7 linked regions of the Coturnix japonica genome follow. The protein of the gene in region 6 purifies or fractionates together with the protein of the main gene of each other region. This does not show direct contact. Links are inferred from orthologs where the notes say so. Each region holds a gene or a part of one and is shown on either strand. Other genes may lie near its edges. The genes, in order: GON4L, HNRNPR, PPM1G, NAP1L1, PHF14, histone H2A and USP48.

Region 1 (3,500 bases), on a different chromosome or scaffold from region 6:
CAGTACTTTCCATTCCACTGTAGTATTACACTAATGGAAAGTATATTGCTCATATGCTTAGAGGAGGATGTAAGCAGTTCACTGATCACTATGTGAGGACCTCAACTCTGAAAAAGCTGCTTCTGTATTGCAGTGTTAGTATAGAGGAATAGTTGTCTGCCAGCCAAGAGAACGTATGAAAAATGGGTGTATGACTTACTATGTTTTTCTTCACAGGAGAGAACATGAAAGCCCCTGGGAAAAGCAGGAGCTCTCACAGAGCCAGAAATAAGAGGGGCCGGGCACGTGCAAGTAAAGACACATCAAAGCTGCTCCTCTTGTATGATGAAAACATCCTGGAGAGGGACCCCCTGAGGGAGCAGAAGGATCTGGCATTTGCACAAGCATATCTGACCAGGGTAAGGCAGAACAGTTGTAACCCCAGACAGGAATCACAGACACTTTGAATCCTCAAACGCAGTTAATTTCTGAGCAGCATAATGGCCATTTCTAACTGTGGGTGTTGCTTCTGGCCTGGATGGAGCTGCCATTCTTCATAGCACCTCACATGGTGCTCCTTTACTTACTAAATCCTTTGTCTTGGCCCATAAGTTTTCTTCTTCTTGCTCTTCCTATTCTCTCCCCTGCCCTGCTTGGTGTCTGTGGGGATGCTCAGCTGTTGTCTGGGGTCAACCCACAGCACTGGGTCAGTTTTAAATTCAGAATTACATGGTTTTGGGTTTGGCTCCCTTGTTCCTTGTGAGTAGTCTGCTTTTATCTTTAAAGGAAGAGATTTTTCTTATCCCAGAGATACTGGGAGCACTGCAAGAATGCTGAGTAGCAAGAGATCAGAGACTCCTATGTTTACTTTTTCCTTCCTGGGTGTCACACAATCCTATAAAGATCTGCTGTTCTTTTTGCAGGTGCGTGAAGCACTACAGCACATTCCTGGGAAGTATGAAGACTTCCTCCGTGTCATCTACGAGTTTGAGATCAGCATGGACAAGCAAACAGCTGTGGATCTATATTTCACCTTACAGAAACTGTTACATGACTGGCCACAGTTGCTCACAGACTTTGCTGCCTTTCTTTTGCCAGAACAAGCTTTGGAGTGTGGGCTGGTAGGTAGTGTGTGTGAATGAAGCAGACAGCATGAATGCTGATGGGAGTGAAAGAATGAGGAATTTTCCCCAGGGCAAGGAAAGACAGGTGGTAAATCATTTGCTTACCTTCTGCTTAATTAAGTTGGAATTGAAAAGTCTGGTGTCTGTTATGAGACTTATCCTGGGTGTGACCGTGGAGAATCAATCAACCTTCCCCCTGCAGTCCCAGAACCTGACCATAGAGAGACATGGGCAGATACAGCAAGTGGAATGGTTTCCTTGTCAGCCTTCCGCTTTTCCCACCCGTGAGACAGAAGTTTCACCTGTTAAATTCCTTCTGAGGTTTGTTTTTCATGAGGGGGGTGATTGTTTTTTCTTTCAATCAGTTTGAAGAGCAGCAAGCATTTGAGAAGAGCCGCAAGTTCCTCAGGCAGCTGGAAATCTGCTTTGCTGAAAATCCTGCCCACCATCAAAAGATCATCAAAGTTCTGCAGAGTTCTGTGGACTGCCTCCCTCAGGAGATTGCAGAGGTGAGGAGGCATTCAGGTTTCTCCTTCCTCTAAATCCCTGAGAAGCAATGAGATATCCTGCTTCTCAGTTCCCATGTGCAGCACGTTGTAGTGGTATTTCTTTGCTAATTTGACAGCTGTGTATGGAATGATCTCAAAATACTCTTGAGCTAATACAATGGAGTTGTAATAAGCCTTGATGGTTCTGCCTGCCCTGAGAAATCCTTCTTAAAGAGTGTAATGATGTGGAATGAAATGCTCATTTTTCTCTGGATTTCTCTCTTTTTAGCTGAAAACCCAAATGTGGCAACTGCTGAAAGGACACGACCACTTGCAGGATGAGTTCTCTGTGTTCTTTGACCACTTACGGCCCTCAGCCAGTCGCATGGGGGATTTTGAGGAAATCAACTGGACAGAAGAGAAGGAATATGAGGTACAGTGATGTTTTCATAGAACCAGGAAATATAAGAACATATAAAAATGTTTGAACCTGAAAGACTCCAATCATGGCTGTGTTTCCAGAGCAATGGAGGCATCAGGGTGGGAAAGTTGTTGGACAGGAGCAAAGCTTTAAAATCTTTATACAGCATTTGTCTCTTCTAACACAACTGGGCTGGTGGAGCACTGGAACTGATCTCAGTATTTAGAAATTCACAGGGAAAATGAAGTTTGGTTTTCTGGAGAGCTTTGGTGATAGAGCAGTTCTTCTTTTGTTTTCTTTTAGTTTGATGGCTTTGAAGAGGTGTCTTTGCCGGATGTAGAAGAAGAGGATGAACCACCTAAAATTCATGCAGCCCCCAAAAATAAGAAGCGTAAAGAAATTGGAGGCCAGAACAATGACAAGGTGGGCCTGGGGGCATCTCATTAGTCCTTGTATTTGGACTCCAGGCAAATTCATGCCCATGAGGATAGATGTGTCTGTGTATACAGTGCACATTGATCAGCTGCAGCCTGTCTGTTTGCAGGAGGCTGAGTGGGGAGATGGGATGAAGGAATGCTCGTGTTCCTGCCACGAAGGGAGCGGTGAACTCAAGCTGAAGAAAAGCAAAAGGAGGAACTGCAGCCATTGTAGCAGTAAGGTGAGGTGAAGCTTTTAGTGTGGTGGGTGGAGGGGATAATTCTGCCAAGAGCCTCACTGTTGTGATGAGCTTTTCAGACTCAAGTCTAATGCGTGAAGTATCATGTGTTGGGGAAGAGAGCAAAGAACCGATCCTGCCTTCCTCTTCAGTGTGCTTTGTCTGGCCTTCTCTGGTTTATCTCCTGCTCATTTTCAATTGCCCTACTTTGCTGTACTAAATTTCGTCAGTTTTGGTGTTTCTTTGAGATAAAATAAGCATTTTTGTGTGTGTTTCTGAAAGATGCTTCTGCAGCTATTGTGTGAGAACTGTGCCTATTCATAATGGAAAATATTTAGCTTCCTTGATGCAAAAATGCTGCTAAACTGAAGCCCTAGTTAAGATCAAGTAATGCTTTGAAAGCAAAGGCTGAGATGTTGGATTTAGTTGGATCTGCTACATCTGTATTTAGATGCCTATTTGCTCATTTGCAGGTGTGTGAAAATAAATTTTATAAAAACAAAGATTCTCAGGAGCTGAGTGCCAGCCTTGTTCAGCAAGAATCGAGTCCTCAGCCTGAAGGGAAGGATTCTGGAACGTCAAAAGAACCTGCAGAAGAAAACTTAGAGCACAGAGATGAGGGAGAGGATGTCCAGAGCAGAACAAGAACCGTGTCAAAGAAAGGGGACCCTCTGCCTGCAGGTGGGTGAACATCCTGTATACAGAGGGTTATTAGCATTTATCTCCGAACCTTTTTCCATAGATGAAAAGAAGCATGGAATTTCTCCTAATGGAGATGATTGAGATACTTTAAATGTGGTGTTTTCAAAGCATTCACTTCAAGAAAGGCTTTC
Region 2 (3,500 bases), on a different chromosome or scaffold from region 6:
CCACCTTCCAGAATAAGAAATGAAAAGCATTTCAAAAACAAAGAAGATACGATCCTCTCAGTGTAGCGGTTTCACTATCAGATCATGACAGCACTGAAGATGTGTTTTGTAAAGACTGGTGACTATTAACGAATTATTTGCTGTCATTGCAATCTAAGCTGACCTCTTCAAAACTTTGCATGAAGTATCCTAATGCAATTCACTCAAGTCTTTACCTTCTTCCAATACAATGCATAGAAATATTTGTTACTGCTTACTGAATCTTCCCATTATATCCACCTGCTTTCTTCTCCTCAAACAATGATGCATTTTTCCTGCAGAATACTGAGGGCTAAGACTAAAGAAGGAAAATAGAGATGCAAGCTTTCCTCTGCAATGTTTTAAACTTTCCCTCGCAGTATAATTTATTTGCCAGTCTTTCTAACAAATGACTTTCCACAAACACACAAAATAATGGCGTTAGTCTGTGCATACTAACCTCTGTTCCAATACCAGGCTGAACACCAGAATACACAGTATCTGGAGGAGGGCCCCCATATTTTCTCTGTCCTGTAGTTACATCCAAAGTGTAACCAGTCCTCTCTAGCAAAGCCTGAAAAAAAATGGAAAAGTATTCACAATATAGTTACACACAGAGGGTGGGGGCCACAAACAACAGAATCTGTTTCTGAGGTTACTGCAACCCTTGTTTTCTGTTTGCAATATCTTATGTAGTGGCCAAGGAACTCCAGAAGTTCTCACTAGCTTTTGGTTTTGCACAACAGAAAGACCATGTCTTAACATATTCACCAACTCCAAGACTCAGTCTTGTTGGAATGCCCAATTAGTCTCAATTTTATCAGCTTGTACAAACTAGTGTAAAAAAGACAAGATAACTCTGAAACAGATTATTATTCTTTGTGAAGTTCATGCCTGTTGGTAATTGTGCAATCAGGTACATCTACATTTCAAGCAAGTATTCTCTCTTTTCAATCTTGCATACGTTCCTTTAACGTGTGGATGCTCTTATCAAAGCAATATTGATGCCTTCCAAGCATTAAGCATTACAATTCCTTCAGTCTGCATACAGGTAGTACAAAACAATCAGTGTTTTCAACACGTTACCTTGATCTTTGCTTCATCTGGTCCCTTTGTTGATTCCTGTACTTTGCTGCCTTGTTTCTCTCTTTGCCTGTAGGTCTTCATAACTCCACATAAAAATGCACTTTTGTTCTGTAGATACAATTTACAAAAGAATTAAATCGGGGGTATGAAAAGCTCTGGGAATATACCAAATCCATACCGTGAAGTCACTAGATAAGACAATGCCAGGTACCAAAAGAATCCTCTTGATAAATGCAACAATTAACTGATCAAACTAATAGGCATGGAATTTCAAGCTATATTTTTACCTTATGTTCTCAAAAGCACTCATTGTTATTATCTGGGAGCTTTAGTTTTGCACGCAAATACCCACAACATTTAGGGAAACTTTTAAACAGGCCCGTGATCTGGGTTTGAAACATACAGAACATGAAAAGAGTTTCTACGTATCAGCTCTCCTGCCAATAGCGCACACTATTACACTTATGTGCTCACACTTCTGGAGCTCTCACCTTACCTGTACATGCGACAGGTCACTTTCTTTAAACTGCTGTAATACAGAGAGGGCTCCTTCTTCATTAAATTCCCTAAGAGCATCAATTGCTCTTTCATCAAGATCGACATAAGCTACCAACCCTAAAAGTTAAAGATAAAGAAGTTACAGATTTCTATTAAATGTCATGCAAGCTAAGAACTATGCAGTTTGCTTTTAAAAGTCCATAACAGAATTATATATTTAATATAATTACATATTCCTACACAAGTATATGAAAAAATATGAGTACAACAATGAAAAAAGTTAAATTAAAATGTATATACCTAAGCATTAACTGAAGTGCGAGATTACACCCCATGTGTAACAGCTTTCTAACATTCGGAAATCCAACAGACAACTCTGGCTCTCTTCTAACAATTTGGGTTTTGTTTGACTCTTAAGATTCACACTTCATTCTCTTGAATGGAGCTGTTCTAAAGTAAGCTGACATATGAACATTACACGTAACCTAATGTATGTGAAAAGGAACTCTCTAACTGAAGATCAAACACTCACAAAGCGCTACAAAACATTCAATAGAATGGTTTGGTCACTCTTTCCTCCTTACTTCAAAGAGCAAAAATCAATAAACTGCTTATGCCTAAAAATTGATTGAATTTCACTTAGTTTGTTGCTCTGTGCAGTTCGAGAGCCAGAATTCAAAAAGCTTCTGTTTTGAGCCCTCTCAATGTACCCGAAAAGGCTAATGTTAATTTTACAGGTACAGACTCCCCCAAGAAACACTGGACCAGTTCTGAAGCACTTTTCCTGTTTCAGGATCTTTAACAGCTTTGTGGGGTTTTTTTGCTCTCCCCTTTTGCAATGCACTTGCACAAGCTGTGGAGTATGAGGACTTTGTGTTATTAACACCTGAGCTATTGAAACCACACAGGGAAAATTAGGACCAATAACTCCACATGCTTTGCAACAGCTTGATTTCCAGAATGCAGATGATTTAACTGCTACTTGCTTTCAAAAATGCAAAGTAGTGCCAAGCCCAAGGACTACATTTCAGAAGTGATCCTGCATATCGGAAGGCACCTGTATCTTTCAGATGAGACCTCAGCAGATTAAAAAACCCAAACTTCAACTTTCAATTTAGCTCTGGTCTCAGAAGCAGAATGTTTCACTGACAAACCCCTGCACAATGTGAATATCTGCGGTGGCTTTAAGGAAATGCAAATAAATGTTGTCAGGTTACTCATGCGATGGAATTATACTAGGTAGTTTGGTTCTGGGCTGAAAAGCTTTTAACTCCCTTGAGAACTCCTCACGACACAACCTAACTAGCACACAGGTTAGACCCCACAAGTTCCTCTGTCCAGGCATTTACTCCTTCTCTCAAAGCATCCAGTGTACATCAGCATGACCCACAGTTAGAAAGTGCATGGCTATGCCAATAAAAGCTTGTCAAGGCTCGATGAAAGCTCACTGTGAATGACTTTCAAAAGGCATCATTCACATGACCCAGAATGTCATAGTGATGAAGGGATAAAGTATTGGTTTTTGAACTGCCTTCGTTTCATCGGTGGAATTTTGACTCTTTTCAACAAAAAACTGTCATCGTGCCACCAAGGCATTGAAGATAAGCACATAAAGCAGTTCTACTGCTTCTTATACATTTGTTCACAGAACACGCTCTAAAGAGAAAAAAGAAGCTTCTGTCTAAGGACAAACTAATACGGGAGGATGGGATGTTCTAAAAATCAAATAGAGAAACCTTGGTCTATAAAGAAACCTTTCCTCTAGCAGTTGCAGAGACCACTTGCTACCAGCAAAATATTACTCAATTTGCTAGATAGCTTAGTCCTCATTTGGTAAAAAAGCAGTTAGGATCAAAGTGAACTTCTCAGTGGACTGACAGACATGGGTTAAACTGTCC
Region 3 (2,247 bases), on a different chromosome or scaffold from region 6:
TATCAGCATGGTGGGCTCACCTCGTGCTCTGAATGTGTGGCAGATTTCTCTGTCTGATATCCCCACAGTCAAATCTGCTTTGTCAATGGGAGCACCAGTGTCAATTCTGTTAAGGCTGGGTAGTGTTCCTTGTTGCTCAGGGTTAGGCAGTGTTACCAGTGCCCAGCAGCTGTGTAAATCCATCCTCCTCTCCAGGTGATCACTTCTACAAGCGGAACAAGAATCTGCCTCCAGAAGAACAGATGATCTCTGCCTTGCCTGACATCAAAGTACTGACAATAAACGACGACCATGACTTCATGGTCATTGCCTGTGATGGAATCTGGTAGGTAGTGAGAGAGCTGTGCCTCTTGGGTCATCGCTGCCCTGATTTTTCTCTCTTGGGACAGTGTGGTGTGACAGCTCCCATAGCTAATAACCCTTCTGACCTTCCCATTCTTCAGGAATGTGATGAGCAGCCAGGAGGTGGTGGATTTCATCCAGTCCAAGATCACCCAAAAGGATGAGAATGGAGTCCTGAGGCCGCTCTCCTCTATCGTAGAAGAGGTAAGGTCCAGAGCTCACGCCATCAGTGCCTTCACCATCCCATTGGCACGCAGTGATTCTGCACCCCAGCTCCATCAGGCCAGTTTGTTGAGAGCTTGAGTTATCTGGCAGCATGTGGGCTGCAACACTGGCTGTGTTATGGGAGCAGAGTCACATCTGAATTAGGGTCCACTTCCTTTGGCACCTTAATTAATGTCTTTGACCCCTAAGTTGCTGTCAAGCCAAGGGAGTTTTCTGTCCACTTTCAGGAAGCCAGGGATACCGAGGGCTGGTTCTGTCCCTTGTCTGGCTGTAAACACCATCTGAGCCCAGCCCAGCCCATGCTCTTCTGGGCTGGCAGCCCCTACCTACCCTGCTATCAGAAGGGGCCCAATGTCTCAGACTATTCTAAGTGTCGCGCCTCTGCTATGTGCTAACCCGTCCCGTCCCTCCTCAGCTGCTGGATCAGTGTTTGGCTCCAGACACTTCAGGGGACGGCACTGGCTGCGATAACATGACCTGCATCATTATCAGTTTTAAACCCCGCAATACACACCCACCTGCTGAAAGTGGGAAGAGGAAACTGGACGACGTGGCAGCACCGGCAGCACCAGCAGAGGAAAACGGCAGCGATAAGAAGAAGGCCAAGTTGGAATAACAAGCCTCGCACAGGGACTGTGCTGTGCGCTCACCAGACTCTCGTTTCTTAAACATGCTGAACTCAAGACTCCACAAAGTCTTGTCCTTTTTTTAGCCTTAGCAGAGGCCTTGTTTGTCCGTGTCCGGGGTGGGGGGTGGGGGGTGGGTCTGGTTAGCGAGGGCATGTGGCGCTGTTCATCCGTAACCATTCCAAAGAGTGAAGCCAAGGGCAGAGCTGCACGCGGGAGCAGCCACCAGCCGCGACGTGGGAGCCCACCATCAAGTGGCAGCTTCTTCTTAGCACAGAGCCCTGTGGTTAGAAGGATGGTCCCCCCTCCCTACCCCCCCATTGTCTCCATGTGGTTGTTGCCATTTCTGTGCCTGTGACTTTTCTGTTCCGGAGGGAAAGAACTTTTTTCACTTGTTGAGGTTTTTTAAAATCTGCACCCAATTATTTAAGGCCCTTTTCTGTTTTTATTTGTGAACCAATCCGGCTGTGGTGCTGCCGCCACACCTCATGCTGTTGTACACTTTCAATCAATACCTTTTTCAAACTAAAAAAAGCCTGGAAAACACGGTTGTACTTCTGGTCGTTGGTCCTTTCCTTGGTAGTTGGGGTGGGGGGAAGAAAAGGCAGGTGGGAAGGCAGGGAACTTCTCTCCCTGCGTCTCAAAGCACCGCGAGGGTCGCTGGGTTGTGGGCAGCTTTGTATGGCTTGTGTCAATGCTGCTGCTCCTATAGGAGTGAACTCTGCTGTCCCTTGCTGCTGTGTCCCTTCACCTCGCACCCATCCTTCACCAGCCCGGAGTACTCCCATCATTATGACAAGGTAAGACCCTGCCCGAGTGGCCCTTACCCGAAGTGCTTCCATTAAGTGCCCAGTAATGACATGCTCAGAGCTGGAACTGCTTTAGTCCCTGTACCATCAAAGCAGGCTCCTGCAGCCCCGCTGAGGGTCGGTTGTTGTCTGTCTGGTTCCTGCAGTGAGGTATCGGTCTCAGGAGGGTCCGTTTTCAGTTTTGGTGCTGGTTGTTAAAGGTTGACATTGATCTCACGTTGGGAACTTGCGTTGAGATGGAACTG
Region 4 (3,500 bases), on a different chromosome or scaffold from region 6:
AAAGTACTGTCTACTTAACCAAACAATTTCTTGCTCTAGAAAGATTCAGCAGTTACCAGTGTTTCAATACACTGAAGAACCAACATGCAAGAACGGTTACCACATAACCTAACATCTGCTCAGTTAATACGATGAGGCCTAATATACTAAGGTGACTTTGTTAGCCATGGAATAGACAACACTTCATCTTAGCTGATAGTCACATGGACAGCAAAATAGTGTAAATTCAGCTGAATGGGCACATTAGAGACCAAGGTAATTCAGAACACATAAATAAGCTTCAGTTTATATTCCCTTTTGGTTTAACTAAAGCTTTTAAATACAAATAAGAAAAGCATTAAAATACCTTGTCAAATAAGGGCTGATAGAGAGCAGCGTATTTTCTTTCCAGCTCATGAACTTCCTCATAGAACTTTGCTTCTATCTGTGCACACTGAACTTGAAGATTCTTGAGAGCATTCACACGTCTTTTAACAACTTTAGGCAAGCTGAAAAATACAGTGACAGAACTGTTACGAACATTGCATTCTATGCACATGTTGACCTCTCATTAACCAGCTCCTTTCACCAACACATATCAAAATGGATTTCACACTGCTTTAAACACTAGAAAACTGCAAAAAAAGTCAAAGTTACGACCCACTGTACCATGTGGAATAAACTTAACACAGACTCTTAAAACAGGTATAACCTGACTTAGAATAAAAAAAAAAGTCAAGTCTCTGAATACGCAAACTTGTGTAAAGCTTCACACTGACAGCAAGTTTTACCTTACCACCAAGCAGCATGGCAAATTGCTAACATGGAGCACAATCAAGGATGAGCTAACTACTTGTTTGTTTTTATGAACATTCAAGACAATTGAGTTATTACTTCACTAAGGAAGTCAAGCTTCACAACCATTATTTTTGTTTATTCAGGAATGAAGCTATCACTGCTGTCCCTTAACAGTCTCCCAGAATAAGCCAAAACCATATTATATACATATTACAGGCAAACAATTAGTGCAGCCTTCATTATAAGCTGTTGTGAAACTTTGATTAAAGTTGTATCTGACTTGTAGAAGACCACACTAACAAAGTTAGAGCTGGGGCAGAAATTAACCTGCACTGTTAGTGAAATTCATAGGGTAGACTGGTGACAGCCTCTATCACTGATGATGTGAGCCAGTCCCCAGCATATAGCTACAGCAGATTACCATGTTAACCTTCTTTATTTAAGGAACTGGGTCACATCATTAAGAGCACAATGGCAAACAGCTGCAAAAAAGTGAAAAACTGTTAGGACCAGCTTCAGGTTAGTGGAAGCAACCAAGAAGGTATTAACTAAATACTGCAAGTTCGTATTAATTACTAATGCCACCAGCCCCCACTTAAGTAGGATATTTGATAAGACATGTAAGAGGTCCCTGTAAAGCATGCTTAAATCAGCATGTATATGTTAAGGAATCACAGAGGAAAGTTACACATTTTCCAGCTATTATTTCTATTGTAAGTTTGGCAAGCACTTGATATTAATGGTAAAGCTGCAATGCTTTGCAAGAAAAAGAACTATAGACTTAGAATAGATGAAGAAATGATGCAGTATCTCCAAGAGCAGCTGACAGGGGAAAATGCCAAGTAAACAGAAGTAGGACTTCTGTTCACTTCTTACAGCTAGGACTTGAAAGATTAGGAGAGATGAATTAATAACTGTCAAAAAATCAACATATTAGATATAGAAAGCCTTAGTGTACAGCATATAGAACAGTGTAGAGAACCTATGTACTCCTTTGACTCCATGCTCTTCCTGGGCCTGTAGTTATTAGGGTAGGCTATTAGTTGCCTGTATTTTCTTCTATGCTACTGCCTGTAATACAGGAAAGTGGTAGGAGTAGCAGCAGCAAATCCAGTCATTCAGTAGCCATCTCAGATAACATCAATAGCAACACAGGATCCTATCACAGTCAGATAGTTCTGTGCTTTACAACTTGTGCATATGGTCAGAAGTTCACACAATTAGAAATTACACAAAGGAGATAGATAAATCTGTTATAGCAGATGCAGTAAAGAAAACTTTAGTAAGCAACAGATTGTTTCAAATTGTATAAGGAGACTACATTAAGTATTGATACAACATTCCCAATTTGTGGTTACAGTATGACCACAAGTGACCACGTACTTGCCCATGTTTCAAATTAAAGCAAAGCTGAGAAAACATTCTGGGAAAATATCTGTGCCTATGTGTTATGGTTTGAAGAGTTAACCACGTGACACCTCTCCCTCCCCTTGGGCAAAATGCAGAGGGAGGAAGAGGGGAAAAAAAATCTGATTGAGATAAGAGAAACAAATTTATTAAAAGGAGCATGAGATAATACAGAATAACTAAGAGCAGTAAATCAAACAAAAAAATAAAACTAGAGGAGAGAGAGAATCAGAGTCCTTATCAGCAGAACCTCACGGCTGTCCTCCTAGAAAAGACAAGAGAGTTCTTCCTCATCACCAAGAGTTGGAAATCATGTGGAGGCCCTTGGGAAAATGCAGTACATCTCAGTATCTTCCCCTTGGAGTGTAAAAACTCACATGAGACTGCTATAGTGAACCAGGAAATACAGCTCCGCAATGCAGTGCTGAATCTGCGCCCAGCAGCTTGCCGCATGATGTCATGATAAGGAACATACTGATAAAAGCAGGACAGAATGACATTTTGCAATTGCACGTGACATTATCTGCCACTAAATATTTCTGCATTTTTTACTTCAAAAAGGCTCAAACAGAAAGCCTTCAGTTTTGAAATGCGTCAATTCCTGATTATATTACTTTCCTGCTACCTAGGCAGAGCAGTGGTTTATGATTAATCTTAAAGACAATATTGTTCAGGAAGCAAAAGCACATTTATATCACTCTCCTCATACTGAATTAGAACAAACATTTTACCTCTCTATATATCCTGTAGATGTTCCTACCAGACCATCAAGTCTTTCCTGAAGAGCTGCAAGAATCTGAGGATTTTGCATCATCTGCACAGTCAACTGTCGAGCTAAAATTAAAATGAAAATTCTGTAAGTGCAGAGCATATCTTCTAGACAAGGCTTGAAAGAGATCTAAATACTAAGAAAAAATATGAAGTGAATTTCCTGTTATTCTAAGAAGAAACACAGGCAGAATTTTTTTTTTAAAGTGTCTCCATTTCAGATGTGCTGATCACACAGAATCACAGAGGTTGGAAAAGATCTCCAAGATCATCCAGTCCAACCATCCACCTACCACCAATACCCTCCCACTAAACCATGCCCCCTTACTACAAACAATACAAACAAAAGTTGCAATTTTCATTCCATTTTAGATAAACAAGACTGCTTCAGACCTGGGTACTGAACTGGTTTACAAGTCTATGCTTATATACTTTTGTCTTGAAAAATAATAATTGCTCATTAGAGCTACTTCCCCCCCACCCACCACCACCAAAACGAACAGCAAAGCAATCCAGTCAGCTCAGCCTGACATATTCTTGATTACAGA
Region 5 (3,500 bases), on a different chromosome or scaffold from region 6:
TGAAGCTTTTCTTGCTCGTTTTCTAATTTGTCCTTGATATTCCTCTGCTCAGCCATATTCTCCTGGATTTGAATCATGCGCATATTTCTCTCTATTTAAAAGAAAAATTCATTATTTTCTAGCCTTGGCTATATTTTCAAGTTCTACACACTGAAAAAAAGTGAGGCAACGAAAAGCATAAAACCATTGTTTTGTTTTTTGGGTTTTTTTTAAAGCATACAATTATAGGTTTATTACACAGCCTCAGCAGAATGAACATCTTAACACTGACTTCTTGCTGCATACAATAACCTAGTACAGTTACTTAAAGGGTTATCTCTGATCAGCTAATCTTCTGTGCAGTCAATGTCAAAAACATGCCATTCCACATGTAAGGAAAACATAAAAGAGATACTAAAGGCACCTAAACTTCCAATCCCTTCTTAGAAAAGATACTACTGCCTGTTTGTATTTGAAAGATGGTTTTCTTTTCCCAAAATTCTTAAAAAAGAAAAGTCATCAACATTCTGTATATTGGGCAATAAGGTTTCTGACCAAAAATGAAAAAATAAAAAATAATAATAATAATTCCTATTTGCCTATTAACAAAGAAATACAAGAAAAGAAAGTACAAATACATCAAAACAATTATTTTTCTCTGAGAAGAATATGTACTTTCAATCCTTACCAAGGTAGTAATTGACAAAATCAGCAGTGAGGGCTGGTTGTTTATGCTTTCTTCTTCCATCAACACTGGAACTAGTATCTGAAGTATCAACTGGAAAAATGTCTGTACTAATTCCCATTAATTCAGCTTTGCGCATAAGCTTGCGAATGGCTGAAGCACTGCTAGTGAGTGGCCGTGGTAGCTTCTCCCTGGGAACCCAGGCCTGTGGCCTGGTGGTACGAGCCAGCTCTGCCTTGGCACGATACTGCTGTAGTCTGGCATTGATTCGAGCCTACAACAAAAACTTCCATGAATTAAGAACATAAGGGAACGATTCAAAATCAACATTTCTGAAAGAGTCTGTGTCTTATTTTCAGTTTAAAAGTTGAAGAATCTAACAAATACTTTTTTAATTACAACAATTTGATTCAAGAAATACACTAACAGACATGTGAAGTAAAATCAAAAAGCATACTTCAATAGCATTACCCTTCCAATAGGTTTCAGAGGATTTCACAGATTCCTTGATGAGGCTACTCTATTAACGTCAATTATTGCTGGCTTTCAGACAGTCCTTCCCAAAAATGATAATATGATGGAACCATGAAATTTCATTGGGAAAAATCTTTGCTGACCTACCAAAAATACATTAAGCATGGCCAACATGTCATGGAAGCTGATCTTTCCCCTCTACTCTGCTGTAGTGAAACCACATATGAAGACTTGTGTACATTTCTGGGATCTTCAGTTCAAGAAAGACAGTAAACTTCTAGAGAGCTCAACAGAGGATGAGAAGGATGATTAGGGGCATGGAGCATCTCCCTTCTGAGGAAAGGCTGAGAGACGTCCTGCTGTTCAGTCTGGATAAGTATCTTAAAATGATATGTATCTTATCAATACTTACAAATATCTACAGGATGGGTGCCAAGAGGATGGAGCCAGCCTCTTTTCAGCAGTGCCCAGGAACAGAACAAGAGGCAATGGGCACAAACTGGAACACAGGAAGTTCCATATGAACATGAGAAAGAACTTATGTACTTTTAGAGTGATGGAGCAATAGAACAAGTTGCCCAGAGAGACTGTGGACTCTCCATGTCTTAAAGCATTCAAAAACCACCCAGATGCATTCCTGTGCAACCTACTGTATGGAACCTGCCTTAGCAGGTTAGTTAGACTTGATAATCTCCAGAGGCCCCTTCCAAACTCTATGATTCTGAAGTTTATGTGAGCAGTAAAATTTGGTGAACAGTATTTTTGCCATATATGACATTCTTTTGTATGAACACCTTTTTCAATGCCCTCTCACTTCACAATGTTAAACTAGTTTATTTTAATCTGCCAAAATCTTAGCCCAAAGGGAACTGAAATCAGCAGAAGCTCACAATACTTGTTGTTGATGACATCTGTATATTTGTGACCATCTGGGAGATCAGACCCAGATCAATCAAGTTGTTGCTGACAGTTGGAAAAAATTGTCTTGTGGGAACTCTATGCAGCAGTAAGTCTGGCAGAAAATGACATCAATATACAAGCCTTCTGAGGCAAAACTTCAGCTGACTATGACTTAGAAGTTGCTCATTTGCCAACATAAAGAAACAGCTAACCCAATCTGACTACCCTACCATATGGTACGAAATACTCCTGAGACAAAAGCAAAAAAGTTTGCATTTATAAATATACACCACGCATAAGGAACATCTTTGATTCCAAACAGCATTGCTGAAACTACTGTTAAAGATGCAGTTTAATACATTACCTTACTAGGTCACAAACATTAATGACCAAGAAACAAAAGAAATATGCCTTGTGGAACAGTTTTAAGCCCAAGGGCTTTTATCTTGAACATAAACAGCAAGCAAGAGATCCACCTGCAATCATCAACTTGCTTTATTCATCGCCAGAATGAACAAGGATGGTTTATATCTTCCTTGTTCTTGATTCTTCTTTACTTGATGATGTACTCAGTTTGAAAATCTTGAGGTCATTTAATGTCATACAACTGTATTCTCAGAGCCCAATTCCAGAAAAAGCTGACAGATCAGACTGACTAGTTTAAATGAAATTCTCAACTGTAAGAATGGATTTAAGTAAATTCGAATTACTTTACTCAAGTAATGTACATTTCCTTTATTCATATAAAGGAAGTATTTCAACATATACTGTTTTCCAGTAATCAATAGTAGTGCCAGACGGTTATATAACTTAGATTCTTTCTACAGATTTTTCTTATTCTGGGACACAGGACTTGCCAAACTGCTAGCTCAGCTACTCCTGTCAGGGTTAGAAAGCACCAAGCACCACCTTTTTCTCCTTTTGAAATGTGTCTCAAAAATACACTTTCACAGCAACACACATTTTATTTCTACAACTACATACTCATTTATCAATATCTGGAAACCTTACTTAAGCTTTAAAACTCCCATGGAAGTAAGTTTTCATTTTGTGTATATGTGCATGTGTATTCAAGTGCAAGATATGACTTTATATACACTTTGTGTCAACTCCCGGGTCGAACATTTCTGGTATGTATTAAGAAACCTCTGCAGTTCTAAAAATGCATAGGAGCCACTCAATTATCAAAGAATCACAGAATGATCAAGGCTGGAAAAGACCTACAGGATCATCCAGTCCACCCATCCACTGATCACCAATAGTTCTCATTTTTTTTTATTTCAGAAAAAATTCCATACTCATGGAGTCTTGATTTGAAGGAAAGAGCAGGAAGAAAGGAAAATGCAGAGAACTTACTAGCACTAGCAGCACCACATAACAAATGAAGAGTTCTAACCAAAGGTCTAAAAATAGAGCAAGTATGAACCCTGTTGGACTCACAATGATTTTGCACAACCAATAC
Region 6 (2,822 bases):
GCTTGAGAAACTCCTCAGAGCATGAGTGCCTGGATGCTAGAAGAACAGCTGGAAAAACAGCACTGTGTTCTTGCCTTGTCACTCTAACACAGCACAGCCTTTTATTGCAGTTCTGTGTTTCAGTCATACCAAATAACAGTAGTACCGGTGTTATCTCCAGCTGGTGCCCTTACGTAAGTGTGGCATGCAACTCAGTGGTAGCTGGAGTTTGAGTGTGGTGTGGGAACATTTTGAAGCAACTCAGAATGCAAGAACATACCTTGCAGATAGTGCTGCTACTCCTACTCAATGCGTGAACTCTTACCTGGTAGATGTTTTGTTTCAGAAAAGACGTAGCTTAATTGCCTACAATTCCTTCTTCAGTGTCAGTTCAAAGGTAAGAGTTTCTCCTTAGGAAAAAGCACTTAAATTCCCCTTCCAACAGAAGACTTCCAACAGAGAGAGCGGGGCTCGGGCCAAGTACATCTTTGGCAGAAGGGAATAGGAAGCGCATACAGCTTGGTCTTGAGTCAGGTCACAGTGCTACATAGTGAACAGGCCGTGTATTAAAGCACATCAAATCCATCTGTAAAGGAAGAACCTGCTGACCAGTGAACTGTCTGATGTAAGGTTTCAGATTCAGGTTGGTTATTACTGTGATTTATTTGTCTGTTTTTAATCCTAGGTCCTGGGCAGCATGATTGCATTTTCAGTGCGGTACCAGCTGGTGCGCTTATTTTATGATGTCTGACTGAGCTTCCAGGAGCGGCACCTTCCAGTGAACTGTACTAAAACAATTCAATTCATCTGATATTTTGATCTGAAAACTTGAAGCCACCTTTCAAAACACGAGGAACTGCTCCAGGCCGGCCTAGAATCACAGTTCTCTTCTTATGGACAAAGCGTCTCTGTCCTGTTCTGCTGACAGTCAGCACTGCTTGCATGTCCTTGCTACCGGGAACACCTTTCAGATGGGAAATAAGCAACACGAATCTGTACAGAGTCCTTAGGGAAAGCAGGAGAAATGGAACGTCTAAATGTAAGAAACATGTTGCTGTTCCTTGAGAGAAGAAATAAGAACTGCAGCGTCTGTGAGGCTGTACGGCAGAACAAGTGAGCTGGAATTGCCCTGTTGGCTCATGAATGAGTCCATGGATGCAGAATGACGTGCTGTAATCGTACCTGTACTCAGGGCGTTCTGAGAATAAAAGAACTCGAGGTACATTGCCATCTTCGGTTCTGCCTTGCGGACATTGACGTGCGCTGTGACATGGCCCCGCCCCCTGCCGGCGCTTCGCCCCGCCCCCCGCTCACGTGGCCCCGCCCCCTCACCGTACCCGGCCGTGAGCGCCAACGTCCGCCGCGTGGTACGAATTTGGCGCCTTGTCTTCTGATTGGTCCGTCGCCGCCGCCAATAGGTGGGAGGTGAGCGCCAAGCCAGCCAGTCAGCAAAGAGGTTCAGGCGGCAGAGCTCCAATAGCGAGGCGCTGTGGCGCCGTCCAATCAGCGCGGCCCTGCCTTGAGGGAGGTTATAAAGCGCCGGGGCGGAGGCGCGTTCCCCTTGTCCCGCCGCAGAGCTCCGCAGATCCGCGTTGTGTGTCCGGTCCCTGCGAGGCGCCATGTCTGGCCGCGGTAAGAGTGGCGGTAAGGCCCGAGCGAAGGCCAAGTCCCGTTCCTCCCGGGCCGGGCTGCAGTTCCCCGTCGGGCGCGTCCACCGGCTGCTGCGGCGCGGCCATTACGCGGAGCGGGTCGGCGCCGGCGCCCCGGTGTACCTGGCGGCCGTGCTGGAGTACCTGACGGCCGAGATCCTGGAGCTGGCGGGCAACGCGGCCCGCGACAACAAGAAGACGCGCATCATCCCGCGCCACCTGCAGCTGGCGGTGCGCAACGACGAGGAGCTCAACAAGCTGCTGGGCGGCGTCACCATCGCGCAGGGCGGCGTCCTGCCCAACATCCAGGCCGTGCTGCTGCCCAAGAAGGCGGGAGGCGCCGCCAGCCCGGCCAAGGCCGGCAAGAAGGGCGGCGGGCAGCAGTCGCAGGAATACTAGGCCGCCGGGCCGGGCTCCCCTTCCCCCACCAGCACACAAAGGCCCTTTTCAGGGCCGCTCCATTGCTCACCGGGAGAGCTGCGATCCGAGGGAAGGGACGGCCGGGGGCTGCGGGAACGAGGGGGAGCTGCGATGGGAGCGGGCGGGAGGCACGGCGTGATACTGCAGTGCAGTCACATAATGCAGATACGTGATGCTCTTCCTAAAGACACCTGGTGCTCACAACGTGACTGCTGCATTCAGCAGACATTGCACAGGAAATAAACGATGCTTCAGCTCCAAAACCGGAACCCAACAATGGGTTATTCTGATGTTTCTGTAAGGCACTGCAACATGGCAGTGCAACACGATGGTTCAACCATGAACTAGAGGCAAATTTCTTATGCTTCAGCACAAAGATTGCCAGTTACTGTATATCAATGCCTGTCCTCATTCTACATCTATGTAGTTGCACTGGGAACCTAATGCTGATCTCCTTCAGCATTCCTGAAGATACCAGGGCCAAATATCCACAATTTCACTAGTTTAGCAGAAAACACTTCTGTGCTGTCAGCACAGTGCAGCACTCCAGCACTGCCCCTGTTTAGTCTGACTATAACCTGTATTTGGTGCTTTGTTACTAAATGCAATTGGAGAACAATTGCTACTACATCTCTCCTCGCAACAAAACCCTTTAAACGCGTTTCACAGAGATTTTACAACTCAGGTAAACTTAGAAAAGCAAAACTCCAATTTAGTACTTCAAGTATTTTATGCCCAAATGTCAGACAAGGCTGGTGCAAGTGTTAAAAACGC
Region 7 (4,213 bases), on a different chromosome or scaffold from region 6:
TGGGACACAAGGGGATGTGGTTGTGGGGTGGGACATGATGAGGCACTGGGGGCAGTGGGACAGGACACGAATGCAAGACTGTACGTGATGTGGCATGGAATGGGACGTGAGACATGGCGTGGGGTGGGATATGGGAGAGGACATAAGAGGCATGATATGGGACATGGTATGGGATGTGGGACAGGACAAGAGAGTGGACATGGGAAGGGGACATATGGTGCTGGGATGTGACATGGGGCAGGACGTGAGCAGCAGACCTGCATGAGGACTGTGGGGTGCTGCGTCCTCCTGTTCCCACACTCACATGCCCCCCGTTCTGCAGGCGGTGCCCCAGACCCCCGCAGCCTCACAGCCGGCAAGTTCCTCACCGGCGTGTCGGGATGTGTGCGGGGCCTGGTGCTGGCGCCCGCGGGGACCCCCCGGCACCCCACTGACCTGCGGCACGGCGTGGTGGGCGGCTCTGCCGTTGCCCCCTGCCCCTCGTAGCCCCCCTCCTACCCTCCCACAGCTCGGGGGGATTAATTTTGTCGGGTTTATTATTATTTTTCCAAAAAGCCACGAGAAAAAGGTGCTTCGCTGCCCTGGGATGGCTCCGGGGGGGCCGGGACCCCACAACAATGTTTACACCCCCCCTCCCCACTCCCGACCCGAGCCACGCTGGGGCGGCCGGGCCGCTCAGGTGCCTCCTGGGGTGGTACCTGGGTGGGGGGCGCAAGGGACAATCGTGGGAGTTGGCGGGGACGGCGGGATCCCCCAACCCCCCTGTGCTGGGACAACTATTAAAGGAGAGAGAACCAGCGCGGGGGTCGGGTGTGGGTCTGTCATTGAAATGGGGCACGGGGCTCCAGGCCGCACTGGGGGCTGTTGTGGGGGTGGGAAAGCTGCTGTTTGGAGCGGGGGATGGAAGCGTGGGGTGGTGAGGGGACACAGGGAGGTGCGGGTGTGGGGTCCAAAATGTGTCAGAGCCGGGAACAGCTGCTTATGGTGGGGGGATGTGTGGATTCGGGTGTGGTGTGGGGGGATCGGGCGGGCGGCTACGGGGACACGGGACAGGCCTAAGAGCACGGGAGGGACCGGAGGGGTCCCGGGGAGCCGGGACACAGACATGGAAGGTGTAAGGGATCCAGAGCGGAGGAAGTTGGGCGTAGGGTCGGAGTAGGGATGGAAGGGGCTGTAGGGCCATGGGGGCGGTGCCTGGGGCGGGGCGGGGCGGAGCTGACGGCCGCGGTGATCAAACCGGCCCGACACGAGCGGCGCCGTACGGCTACAGGGCGGCTTAATGGCGGCCGGAAGTAGGCCCTGCCGGAAGCAGGCTCCACCGGAAGTAGGCCCTGCCGGAAGCAGGCCTCGCCCACCGCGTCGCGCGGGATGCGACGTCAGCAGCTCGCGCCACGTCGGGCGTTACCGCGTCGCGCGTGTGGCGTCACGGGCCGTGACGGCGGCGGGAGGGGCCGGGCGGAGCGGGGGCCGCGATGGCGCCGCGGCTGCAGTTGGAGAAGGCGGCCTGGCGCTGGACCGAGACGGTGCCGCCCGAGGCGGTGACGCAGGAGCACATCGAGGCGGCCTACCGCGTCGGGCTGGAGCCCTGCCAGCGCGGCACCTGCCGGTACGGACGGGCCCGCTCCGAGCTCCCGGCCCTGGGCCTCGCTTCCTTCCCCCGCCCTTGTTCCCGCTCCCCGCGCTGCTCCTCCCTCGGCTGCTGTGCGGAGCGGCCCTCCCTTCCCTTCCCTTCCTCTCCCCTCCCCCGCTCCAGGCCCTGCAGCACCGCGGCTCTTCTCCCGGTCCCTCCGTTGTCCCCCCCGCTCCCCGGGCGCTCTCTCACGTTACCCCGGAGATGGGGGGGTCCCTCCCCTGTCTGTCTCCGGATACGCGGCTCTGGGGAGCTGGGGGCCCGCGTCCCTCCCTCTCCCCCCTTTTATTCTCTCAGCACACCCCCGGGGTTCCCTTTCCATCCTCTGCTTGTGGCTTTCCCAGTTCTCTCCCAGCCCTGTGTTGTGGGGAGGTGTGGGGCCCTGTGAGTCCCCCTTGTTGTCCCCACAGTCACCTTCTCTCCCCGTCCCCCCATCTCCCACCCGAGGGGCTCTGTCCCTTTGGTGGTTGACGGATGGTCTTGGTGCTGTTCCTGCAGGAGGAACTGCCGGGGGAACCCCAACTGCCTGGTGGGCATCGGGGAGCACGTCTGGCTGGGCGAGATCGACGAGAACAGCTTCCACAACATTGATGATCCCAACTGTGAGCGACGCAAGAAGGTACAGCCTGCACCCTGCCCCAGGATGAGGCGGGGGGGACACCTCTGTGTTGTGCCTGTCCCAGCTGTTACTGGGATGCACCGTGACTCGGCTGCTCCCACCCCAACTGCTGCATTTCTACTTGCTTCTTGGCAGTGGCAGCTGATAACTGTTGCTTTCTTTGTCATACCAGAACGCATTTGTGGGCTTAACGAACCTCGGCGCCACGTGCTACGTGAACACTTTCTTGCAGATGTGGTTTCTTAATCTAGAGCTGCGGCAAGCCCTCTACTTATGTTCGAGCAGTGAGCACACAGCTGGGGAGAGCATCCCCAAAGACAAAGGTCAGTGGGAACTTACCACAGCGTTCTCTTTTTGGTGTGAATGAAATGGTCTTCCTTGTTTTCTTCTAAAACCTGGCGGCGTAGACTTTGAGAGTACATTTATGGTGTGAATCAGTGGCTGATGCTGCAGCTGGTGGTTCCGTCTCTGTGAGGCTCTTCAAGTCCTTCACTCAGTTTTTAGGAGCAAATCAAGCTAAGGCATCCTTTATCATTTCTCAAATTGCTGTGATCTGATGTGGTTGAAAACTCCTTGGGTTTCTAGTCAGAAAGCTGCGCTTGGTGCCACAGATGGTGAGGACTTAGGTGCTGGGTGTGAGGGGCTGTGGTGCTGCACCTTCTTCATGGTGCTGTGCTGGAGTTGTGCTCTGAGCCACCCTGTTTTTGAGGTGTGTAGCGAACAGCATCTTGTTGTTTGGCTCAAGCTGTTTTCTGACAGCTTGTGTTGGGTGCTGCGAGATGTTTGGCCCGTGCTTGGTGCTGTGTGGGCACCCAGCAGCAGCTCAGCTCTGATTGCTTTGCTCACTGCTCCTTCTCCCAGTGAGATGAGAGAAAGAAGTAGAGCTCATGGGTAGAGATAAGAACTCTTTACTAAGGCAGAAAAGGAAGGAGGAAATGACTGTAATGATATTTTACTGAGTATTTATAAAACAAGTGGTGCACGAGGCAGCTGCTTGTCACCTGCTGATTGGTGCCCAGAGTAGTGGCTTCCACTCCAGCCTCAGTTTTCTAGTTGCACATGATGCCATTTGTCATGGAATATCCGTTTGGCTGCTTTAGCTCAACTCCTGGTTCTGTCCCTCCCAGCATCTTGCATCCTCCAGCCCTCTGCTAGCAGGGCAGAAGGAACAGCTGGAAAGCTGAAATGTCCTTGGCTTTGTGCAGCACTGCTCAGCAACAACTGAAACACTGGGATGTTATCAGCATTATTTTTTCTCCTAAACATAGCGTTGTACCAAACGCTGTGGAGAAGATGAACTCTGTCCCAGCTGAAACCAGGACAGTTAGCCCTCATTGCTGACATTAACCGCTTCAGATCTCATGATGGTTTAAAACAGCGCTACTAACGGGTGACTTTTAGTTGTACAAGTTAACCGTACAAAGAACAATTTCTATTTTTTTTAATAGACTATGAGCCTCAGACCATTTGTGAGCATCTCCAGTACTTGTTTGCCTTGCTGCAGAACAGCAAAAGGCGATACATCGATCCCTCTGGGTTTGTCAAAGCGCTGGGCTTGGATACAGGCCAGCAGCAGGTAGGCCTGAGTCTTGTCTGTAATTACTTTCTCTAAAGAAGTGTGAAACTGTCCTTTTAGGTGTTATTTGAACAATCTCTGAGCTGGGATCTGCTGCTCAGCCTCATTTGTACAAACACAAAGGGAGAAGAATTGCTCCAGGCCCTCCTTGGGGCAAGTGCAGGAGGAGCAATGAGACCAGCACCATTAGCACCTGCTCCACAAGCACTGAGCATGCTTGGGAGTGAGCCAGGACCGTGTTTCTCAGATCATTTCCCAGGTCCTTCCCTGGAGCTGAGAGGCACAGGGAAGGGCTTTGTGCTGCTGAACTCCTATGGGAAGGGGGGGGGTGAGGGGGGGAAGAGGGGGAGCTGAGACCCCAACGGGATGAGAGCTGTCTGAGGTCCTG

Evidence for each region.
Region 1: the proteins of histone H2A (region 6) and GON4L purify together in Homo sapiens (affinity purification with mass spectrometry; 3 studies listed by BioGRID and IntAct, counting the BioPlex papers as one, with this or other methods). This does not show direct contact. The link is inferred for Coturnix japonica from reciprocal best matches to the Homo sapiens genes H2AX and GON4L.
Region 2: the proteins of histone H2A (region 6) and HNRNPR purify together in Homo sapiens (affinity purification with mass spectrometry; 3 studies listed by BioGRID and IntAct, with this or other methods). This does not show direct contact. The link is inferred for Coturnix japonica from reciprocal best matches to the Homo sapiens genes H2AX and HNRNPR.
Region 3: the proteins of histone H2A (region 6) and PPM1G purify together in Homo sapiens (affinity purification with mass spectrometry; 4 studies listed by BioGRID and IntAct, counting the BioPlex papers as one, with this or other methods). This does not show direct contact. The link is inferred for Coturnix japonica from reciprocal best matches to the Homo sapiens genes H2AX and PPM1G.
Region 4: the proteins of histone H2A (region 6) and NAP1L1 purify together in Homo sapiens (affinity purification with mass spectrometry; 3 studies listed by BioGRID and IntAct, counting the BioPlex papers as one, with this or other methods). This does not show direct contact. The link is inferred for Coturnix japonica from reciprocal best matches to the Homo sapiens genes H2AX and NAP1L1.
Region 5: the proteins of histone H2A (region 6) and PHF14 purify together in Homo sapiens (affinity purification with mass spectrometry; 3 studies listed by BioGRID and IntAct, counting the BioPlex papers as one, with this or other methods). This does not show direct contact. The link is inferred for Coturnix japonica from reciprocal best matches to the Homo sapiens genes H2AX and PHF14.
Region 7: the proteins of histone H2A (region 6) and USP48 purify together in Homo sapiens (affinity purification with mass spectrometry; 3 studies listed by BioGRID). This does not show direct contact. The link is inferred for Coturnix japonica from reciprocal best matches to the Homo sapiens genes H2AX and USP48.

What each region holds. Positions count from the first base shown.
Region 1 is NC_029540.1:1,770,208-1,773,707, reverse strand, and holds part of GON4L (GON-4-like protein), read left to right. Parts: intron 1-216; coding exon 217-398; intron 399-902; coding exon 903-1,100; intron 1,101-1,468; coding exon 1,469-1,612; intron 1,613-1,880; coding exon 1,881-2,024; intron 2,025-2,315; coding exon 2,316-2,435; intron 2,436-2,556; coding exon 2,557-2,670; intron 2,671-3,140; coding exon 3,141-3,348; intron 3,349-3,500. UniProt on the Homo sapiens protein: Has transcriptional repressor activity, probably as part of a complex with YY1, SIN3A and HDAC1. Required for B cell lymphopoiesis.
Region 2 is NC_029538.1:1,436,150-1,439,649, reverse strand, and holds part of HNRNPR (heterogeneous nuclear ribonucleoprotein R), read right to left. Parts: intron 1,720-3,500; coding exon 1,601-1,719; intron 1,213-1,600; coding exon 1,105-1,212; intron 593-1,104; coding exon 479-592; intron 1-478. UniProt on the Homo sapiens protein: Component of ribonucleosomes, which are complexes of at least 20 other different heterogeneous nuclear ribonucleoproteins (hnRNP). hnRNP play an important role in processing of precursor mRNA in the nucleus.
Region 3 is NC_029518.1:95,322,792-95,325,038, forward strand, and holds the end of PPM1G (protein phosphatase 1G), read left to right. Parts: intron 1-195; coding exon 196-325; intron 326-443; coding exon 444-546; intron 547-982; coding exon 983-1,183; 3' UTR 1,184-1,747; downstream 1,748-2,247.
Region 4 is NC_029516.1:34,434,298-34,437,797, forward strand, and holds part of NAP1L1 (nucleosome assembly protein 1-like 1), read right to left. Parts: intron 3,019-3,500; coding exon 2,916-3,018; intron 489-2,915; coding exon 347-488; intron 1-346. UniProt on the Homo sapiens protein: Histone chaperone that plays a role in the nuclear import of H2A-H2B and nucleosome assembly.
Region 5 is NC_029517.1:23,815,324-23,818,823, reverse strand, and holds part of PHF14 (PHD finger protein 14), read right to left. Parts: intron 939-3,500; coding exon 668-938; intron 92-667; coding exon 1-91. UniProt on the Homo sapiens protein: Histone-binding protein. Binds preferentially to unmodified histone H3 but can also bind to a lesser extent to histone H3 trimethylated at 'Lys-9' (H3K9me3) as well as to histone H3 monomethylated at 'Lys-27' (H3K27ac) and trimethylated at 'Lys-27' (H3K27me3).
Region 6 is NC_029539.1:24,431-27,252, forward strand, and holds histone H2A, read left to right. Parts: upstream 1-1,316; 5' UTR 1,317-1,598; coding exon 1,599-2,027; 3' UTR 2,028-2,322; downstream 2,323-2,822. Other genes in the region: DPAGT1 (UDP-N-acetylglucosamine--dolichyl-phosphate N-acetylglucosaminephosphotransferase), read left to right, coding at 665-730. UniProt on the Homo sapiens protein: Variant histone H2A which replaces conventional H2A in a subset of nucleosomes. Nucleosomes wrap and compact DNA into chromatin, limiting DNA accessibility to the cellular machineries which require DNA as a template.
Region 7 is NC_029536.1:5,714,890-5,719,102, forward strand, and holds the start of USP48 (ubiquitin carboxyl-terminal hydrolase 48), read left to right. Parts: upstream 1-1,413; 5' UTR 1,414-1,472; coding exon 1,473-1,606; intron 1,607-2,128; coding exon 2,129-2,249; intron 2,250-2,421; coding exon 2,422-2,572; intron 2,573-3,697; coding exon 3,698-3,825; intron 3,826-4,213.